2 linked regions of the Lepisosteus oculatus genome follow. Each later gene encodes a partner of the first gene's protein in a complex. Links are inferred from orthologs where the notes say so. Each region holds a gene or a part of one and is shown on either strand. Other genes may lie near its edges.

The links.
Region 2: the proteins of egln1a (region 1) and epas1b are in contact, whole or in part, in a crystal structure (PDB 7Q5X), measured with the Homo sapiens proteins. The link is inferred for Lepisosteus oculatus from reciprocal best matches to the Homo sapiens genes EGLN1 and EPAS1. Residues at the interface, in NP_071334.1 of Homo sapiens: Gln239, Leu240, Val241, Ser242, Lys244, Ile251, Arg252, Trp258, Asp277, Ile280, Arg281, Ile292, Asn293, Gly294, Arg295, Thr296, Lys297, Tyr310, Val311, Arg312, His313, Val314, Asp315, Pro317, Asn318, Asp320, Arg322, Arg370, Trp389, Tyr390; in NP_001421.2 of Homo sapiens: Asp525, Leu526, Glu527, Thr528, Leu529, Ala530, Pro531, Tyr532, Ile533, Pro534, Met535, Asp536, Gly537, Glu538, Asp539, Phe540, Gln541, Leu542.

What each region holds. Positions count from the first base shown.
Region 1 is NC_090712.1:5,069,789-5,073,708, reverse strand, and holds the start of egln1a (egl nine homolog 1), read left to right. Parts: upstream 1-1,099; 5' UTR 1,100-1,657; coding exon 1,658-2,413; intron 2,414-2,694; exon of another isoform or gene 2,695-2,718; intron 2,719-3,920. UniProt on the Homo sapiens protein: Cellular oxygen sensor that catalyzes, under normoxic conditions, the post-translational formation of 4-hydroxyproline in hypoxia-inducible factor (HIF) alpha proteins.
Region 2 is NC_090712.1:13,467,997-13,471,916, reverse strand, and holds the start of epas1b (endothelial PAS domain-containing protein 1), read left to right. Parts: upstream 1-1,640; 5' UTR 1,641-2,098; coding exon 2,099-2,124; intron 2,125-3,920.

The sequences.
Region 1 (3,920 bases):
TACTTATTTTAATAGTGGCATGAGCTTTGCTTTTCAGGCCGGGAGCCGATCTTTTCAATTTAAAAATACGTCATACTGGAAAATTGCATTTTGGGAAATGTATTTTTAAGATATAGCGGCTCTCTAACGTGGTGTGTACAGTGTATACGTACTGTACAAGACCGGTATTTCATTTAAAAAAACACTCAAAAAGTTAATGCAATTCTTACACGTGAGCACATAATAATTAATGACAGGAAAAAAAGTAGATTATTGTTATGGATCCTACAAGTATATGGGATGAAGGTGTGACAAATGCAGGGAATTATGCTTCTGTTATAACTGATTATGCGGTACCTTTGATCATACAATGCCTTTACTATATTCAGACCGAAAAAAAAAAGAAATCTCGTCTGGTTTTAGGGAAACAAGGCTGATTTTGCCTAATCGGGTTAAGCACACGCAGTGAGGAAACTTGCAACCCACAAACAAAACCCAAGTCCAAATACGGGGTGCATTATAATATCAAAAGTGAGATATGAGGGTTCCGAACTATTGTGCCAAGAGAGGGTGGCGCTTAAAACACGTTGCTTTGAACAGCAGTATCCCTGGAGTCCACAAAAAAGCTCAACAGCTGGCCTATCATTTGCATTAATAAAAACAACGGGATTTTTCTGGGACACTCAGAAAAAACATCTTTCAAGGGTCCCAAGATGCTCTTGGCACCGTTAGATCACACAAAACACAGATACTTCCCGCAAACGTAACACCTTCAGGGTGTGTGTTTAAATGCGTTATTTCTTCTTTGTAAGCACTGCCTGATCAATAATTGCTGTAGAAGATGGCAAAATCGGCAAATCCCGGATTTCTGATGGGTCACGAAGAATACATGCAATGGCAGAGTATTTCGAAGAATAGGGAAACGCGCGCTGCGCGTCGCGTGTCGTAAATGCCAGATCTCCACAGAAAAAACTACGTCTTAAAATAAGCGCTCGGCAGTTCTGACAGCAGCGGCTGGGTGGCGCTCCAGGGACGAGCCCCTAATTTCAAGGCTTCAGTTCTGAGGAAACCCAGAACAGATTTAGTTGTTTCCCCCCCCTCGGCATTGTGACGTCGCTGTGTCTGGAATTCTGAGGCACAGAGGCGAACGCGTTCCGAAGCGCGTCGGAGCGGCCGCAGGTGTCACGGTTCCGAAACCGCCTACGGGCTGGGCACCCGATTTGTCTGGGCGACTTGACAACGCCGCGGACTGCACACAGACACGCACGCCTCCCCGGCCGCACTCCACTGCTGGGGTTCTTGTGAATGGCTCTAGGCGGGCCCTGCCCTTCCCTCGTTGACGTCAGGGGTTGGGGTTGGTTAGGGACGACGTGAGGAGCGGAGAAAGAGCGCGGCGCCATGTGTCTCTGGGAGACTGGCGCTCTGAGACCAGGGGCATTTCGGAGTGCAGAGGGAGTGCGCCATGTGCCGTCTGCACTGTCCGGTGTTCGCCCTCCAGTAACCCGCAGAGGGTAACGCAGCGTGGGTGATGAAAGTGCGTCGCGCCGAAGCGGAGGGAGCAGGTTTTCCTTTGGGCTTGTTTGCGGCGGCGGATCCCTTCCAAACTTGTACTGCGCCGCCGGGGCGAGGGGCAGCGCTGGATTTAAAGGGCCAGTAGCCGCCGCTGAACTTCGCAGCCATGGCGAGCGAGGAGGGCACGCTGTCGGACCTGGAGCGGGACCGGCAGTACTGCGAGCTCTGCGGGAAGATGGAGAACCTGCTCAAGTGCGGGCGCTGCCGATCCTCCTTCTACTGCAGCAGGGAACACCAGAAGCAGGACTGGAAGAAGCACAAGCTGGTGTGCAAGGAGGCGGGGAAAGCGCCGAGCCCGTCGCAGCCGGAGAAGAACCGGGCGGTCCGAGACGGGAAAGGAGCACAGCCGCCGCAGAAGGCCCGCCCCGGGCCGGACACGCCGGCTTCCCAGAGCCCGGCGGACACGGGGCCTCCGGAGAGGGAAGGGACGACGGATCATATCAACTGCGCGGACGAGCCGGGTGGCATCGCCAACAACAAGCAAGCCGGGGACGGGATTCACAATAACATTAAGCCCAACGGTCAGACGAAAGCCCAGCCTCAGAAGCTGGCCATGGAGTACATCGTGCCCTGCATGAACAAGCACGGCATCTGTGTGGTGGACAATTTCCTCGGGGAAGAGGTTGGACTGCGCATCCTGGAGGACGTCAGAGCCCTCCACCAGACCGGCAAGTTCACGGACGGCCAGCTGGTCAGCCAGCGGAGCGACTCCTCCAGGGACATCCGGGGCGACAAAATCGCGTGGATCGAGGGGAAGGAGCCCGGCTGTGAGAAGATAGCCTTTCTCATGAGCCGCATGGACGATCTGGTCAGACACTGTAATGGTAAACTGGGAAACTACCAAATAAACGGGAGGACGAAAGTAAGTAGCGCCCCAGGTGCGGACGGTGTAACCCCCCCGGCGCGCAGGTGCACATAACCCTCCACACCCCCTCCCCTCCCCTCTCCTCTCCTCTCCCCTGAGCAGGTGAAAAACTGGCCCGCCAGCTGTCGTCGGGGAACCGCCGGGTAAACACCTCCACGTGTGAGGAACGAGGCGCCAGGATGATTGTTGTCTTTCGAGAGTTTTGTTTCACGCGTGTCTGTAAAATGCGTGAGATGACACGTTTAGCACCGAGTCTTGGTGGGGGGGACAACACTTACTTTGACCTGAAGCAGCAGGTGACGGGGAAAACAGACGAGTTTATTCCAAGATCCATTAACAATACCGGGTGCTTTTCCAGCTCGTAAGTAGTCGAGTTCCTTGGTGTTTGCTCTTGTCCGACACCTCTGCACCATTCGTTTCCGTCAGACGCAGTGGCAAGCAGCTGGAATATAGTCCGTGACCCCTTTTGACGTGTTTTCTGCGATGGACAGTTACAGGGGTTAAAAGGGAAAGTTGTGTTTGTGTTTTTTTCCTGGAGTGGGGAAAAATGTAGCTGTTTCCATTCGACAGCGATGCAGGCATTGTGTGTGTCAGCGTTAAAATGAAATCATGATGGACTACTGACCAGCGATCCTTGGGCGAAATGCTCTTCACTTTGACGAAGGAAAGCGAGGCCTTAGTCCGCTAATAACTTTGTAGACACGGACCCAGGCTGAGTCTATCAGCGCAGTGCCTAATTGTCTAATGAAATACGCAATACCAGCTCAATTAAGAACCCGTTCTGAGCTGTATCCTTTCCAGAATTCTTATTGAGATGACAAACGTTTATTTTTCGGCGATCGTTCGATACCGGTGTAAATCATTATAGCACGTTGTACGTGTTTGGGAATGAAAAGCATCAGGGAGAGTTTTACGCACACGTGATTTAGAAAGTGACTGACGGATGTAATTCCATGTGACCGAAGAAGATTGAGCCTGGAAGTGACAGATGTTCCGAAGTCCAGAAAAGAGCATTTCTGTATTCAAATAACGGAGAAAATAAAAGAGAGGTTAAAGAACATTTTAGGATTAAAAAAAAAACGTGGCTCACTAAATTAGTCGTCTGAATTCTATATAGGCTGATTTCACTGCAGTGATAATGTTAATCCCTTTTTATTTTTTTGAGCACGTTTGTGATGAGAACAAGGAAAAAGCCCTTAAGAGAATCGAGCTATTTTGTTTTTAAAAAGTGCATTAAAATAGTATATGAAGTACAAATGGAGTAGTCGAGCACTTCAAAACACAGACCCCTTGGATTAAGACGAGAAAGCTTTAACCTGTCCACATTTGCTGAAACTTTATGCATTTGTTAGAATGCATATTTGTGTCTTTTTTTACAGCAAAGGCTTTATTGAATTTATACAGAACAGCATAGCAAAAAAGTGCTGTTTTGTATAAGTCAGTTTGACATGTGTTTTCTTTCTTCTCTTTTCAGCATGGAATAAACCTGTTACTGAGAAATGCT
Region 2 (3,920 bases), about 8.4 Mb from region 1:
TAAAACGGATGTCCAATGCCTTTATGAACCTGTGACCATTCCAAAACCACTATTCTCCTCGTCTATGGTTCTTTCAATGTTATTGATAGCTACAGTACAGTATGTCATTCTTAACATCAGATGCAGAACCTTCCTGAGCAGGTTCATTGCACGGTACATTGCCTGTCTTAAAGCAGTCTACAAGCCTGCAGCTCTTCTAGATCTTTGCTTTAAGGCTACACAAAGCAGCTAGTGACAGTCATTGCCCTTTCTTCAGCAGGAGTTAGCGCCACAACCTCCCCAGCCTGCCACTGCTAAGAAAAACAAGCTCTCTGCCTTCTTGTCAGCCCACCTGTTTGTACTGTAGTTGCAGTGAAGAGTGCAGCTAACAGTCTTCTCCATGTCTGCCAGGACAGTGAGATCCTTCTCTGTTGGATCCCAGAAACTCAGACACCCTTCACTGCTGCCCTGTTAGACCTAATTACTAGTGATTCAAAACCTTCACGAAAGTCATCAATGCTATGGAACAACAGTTGGTTGACTTTTGTGATTCTTATAATTTTAATCAATGTAACTGTTTTAGGAACAATAGTCAAAATATTTACCATCCAACCAGATATTTTATTTTGGAATTGAAATACAATCTTATATACAGTATGACGCTTACAATTTATATTATACAGTATAGGACTCATTTCAATACAGTATAGGACTCAAGTCTTATTTATTCCTGTATCTGAGTTATGAAGTTTAAATAAACATGTATTAACATGCTACTCCTTTGTTATATTTCTAAACCATCAAGTGATCATTTGAAAATGTAGTACTGAACATCATTTAGAATTTTTTTGGACTATTCCTAATGTATTTGGGTATAACTGTATAGTTTAAATACTTTCAAATAACATTTTGTGAAAACAATGTGAATAATAAAACAATTGCTCTAGTTAAGCATTTAAATTACTTAAACTATTTTGAAGAGTATTTACAAATAAAATATCAGAGACCGTTTTGCTATGAAACTATCGGATCCCTGCACCTTTCAAGATCTGCATGTAGCATTCTGACACTACAGTGGATGTCACACTACGATGTGGGTTTTTCAGTGTTTTTTTTTTATTTTCCATTTCGTTCTGCCATCCAGATATGAATTGGTCCTTGCTACTTCTTCGCTTAATCACAATTTAGTCAAATGCTTTTATTGCCCTCTGATTCAATAAGGCGATTTTTACAAATAATTATAGTTCTTCTATCATTCTATTCTTCTTTAAATCGTATTTCTAGAATCTGGTTCAACGCGTTTAACAGTAAGTGAAACTCGTTTTACAGTAAGTGAAAAGAAACTGGCATCCATAACACAGCCCCTCTTGGCTAAACGGAGATAACCCAGGTTGCAGGCGATAACTCCCGCATGCGAGGAAAGCAGAGCACCCAGATTAGTGACCTGGTGCACCTGCGAACTCCGGCCGGCGGGCGAATTGAATGATGAGGCGCAACTCTTCGCTGCGGCGAGGCTGAAGTGAAAAGCGTACCGTACCTCACAGAGCCGACAGCAAATGAGCTCACCTATAGCGCTGTCCCGCCCCCACGGCCCGGGGAAGACGGGGGCAAAGGCGGTGTGTGTGTGTCTGCCGAGGGAGGGTCTCGGCTGGGTGCTCGCCAATCACGGCGCGCACATTAACTTGCTGTCAGCAGTCCAGCTGAGTGCAGGGAACAGTGGCCGGGGGACAAGGGCTGGAACTTTCCCAGTGCGAAAACTCAGCGAAACAACTTTGACAGAGGGCTGAAAACAGAAACCTTACAGCGCAGCACCAGCCTTTCCAGATTTCTGCTTGTTAGTAAGAGAGAGGCTGTACAATCCTCGGCAGTGTTCTGAGACTGTATAGCCCCCCTCCCGATGACAAAAGGTCTCTCTTCATTATAAATGGATATTGCTAGTGTTTATTAGTTACGTTCTCCTTTCATCATTACCGTTAGCTAGCAGCTATTTGTTTTTCGGTAGTTTTTTTTTTCCATTATTATTTTTTTTTCTATTGTGAAAACTTTTCAAAAGCACCGCTGGAATTTCTGGAGGACACGGGATTTGATAAAGGACGTGTTCAGTGCTATTTCGACCACCATGACCGCTGAAAAAGAAAAAAAGAGGTAGGGTGCATTTTTCATACAGTATTTAACCTGTTTTTTTTTTGTTTAATGTTTCGATTGAGTTACTGTCTTGGCAAGCACAATGTCTTTGCAATGAACATAACGTGAGGACCGATGTAACCAAGATCACTGACGCTGCTGTTAATAGGACTTGTTGCGCTGCAGGGAGAACATACTGTAGTGAAGTTTAAGAAACTGCTGTCAACCTTCTGACAAGGGCAGCAACACAAATGTAATGATATGAGCTTATACCTTATGATCCGGACCTCTTATGCGATGTAAAGTGAAAGGATTTGCGCTGAATATTTTTCTTTCAAATGTGTGTATGTGGCGTGCAGCTGCGATCTGCACGGTATTTATATGCCGTCTTAATTTATTATATGATGTACATACTGTACATTTTGTCACGGTACAGCCTGTTACAGATACTGCGATCTTGTCCAACACCAAATGTGTCCGACATACGGTACCAGTTCCAGAAGATATATGCTACCATTACAAAAATAAATATTGTAATATTGATTGAGAGTTTAATGGTTAAACTTGTTTTTTTGTTTTTTTTTTCTCTGCTGCTGTTTACGGGATTCTTTTTTTAAATCTAAACTTTGATCTCTGATTTGATTGGTATACCACGGAGGAGTGTGAGCAGAGGCGACCTGTGCGAGTCTCTGGTATCGTGCGGCTGTTGTGTGGCCCTAGTTAATACGCAGGTTAATTAACAACAGGTGAAACAAAGCGTAGAGGTAAAATACAGTGACAGGTCGATTGTGAGGTGACTAGGACACTGTTTTCGAGCTGTAGTAGTTGCAAAGCATTGACCAATTCTGTCATAAAATGTGATGGCAGAGTTATTTGTGTGTCTCAGCATTTTAATATACTGTAATCTGCGGTAAAGCAACATAAATCATTGCGCACATGGTTACCTTTTCATGTTTTTAACCCTTAGAATATGGTATTATTCATTTAATTGTCTCGGCTGCAAAAGTGAAGTGATTCTGAAAAATCTTTTTCGTTTTATACTGTATTCATCCTCATACCCAGTGGAATAAAATAAATATCCAATAATAAGTGTAATAAATAAGATAGGGATCTTTTAAAATATTAAGTATTTTAGCTGTTCTTATTTCAAGAATTTATCAGGTTTGCAATTTATGACCTTTCCCATTAGTTGCATACCGTATGGGAGACCGTAACACTGGGAAACTACAGTATGTGTAATTGATTTGTAAAGTCACAATACTGTGTAATTCTGTACTTTGCATTTGACAGGTTATTAGAACAAAATGTTAATTTCCATCGTTGTACATAACATTTACACATTAAATGTCCTCTGTTTCAGTTTGTAATTCTTCTGTAAGTAAAATTATATACATTTTAATTAGAACTTGTTAGGACTGGATATATAGCCTGCAACGTCAGGCTGTTACAAGCAAAACTGTACAATACAACTATTTAAAAAGTATGTGAAGATTTTGCAATGTGTATGATGGGGAAAATGTGTACTTAGTGGCTCTAGTAATAACACAATAAATTCGCTCGCAGTATGACTTCGGTTTGTATACCATACTAAAAGATGGCAGCATCTATACTGCACTCAGGAACATATTGAGTCATCCATTTGATTTATGTTTTGTGTTTTTTTTTCCGTTTGTTTCCATCAGTCTGAAATACAGTTTTGAAATGCTTCATGTTACCAAACTGAAACAGGCCCAGGAAGTGGAGTGTGAGGAATGATCGTTCACTATAGCCTTTCCTCCCTCACAGGCCAAGGCTGTGTGAGTTTATCCATACGCCAT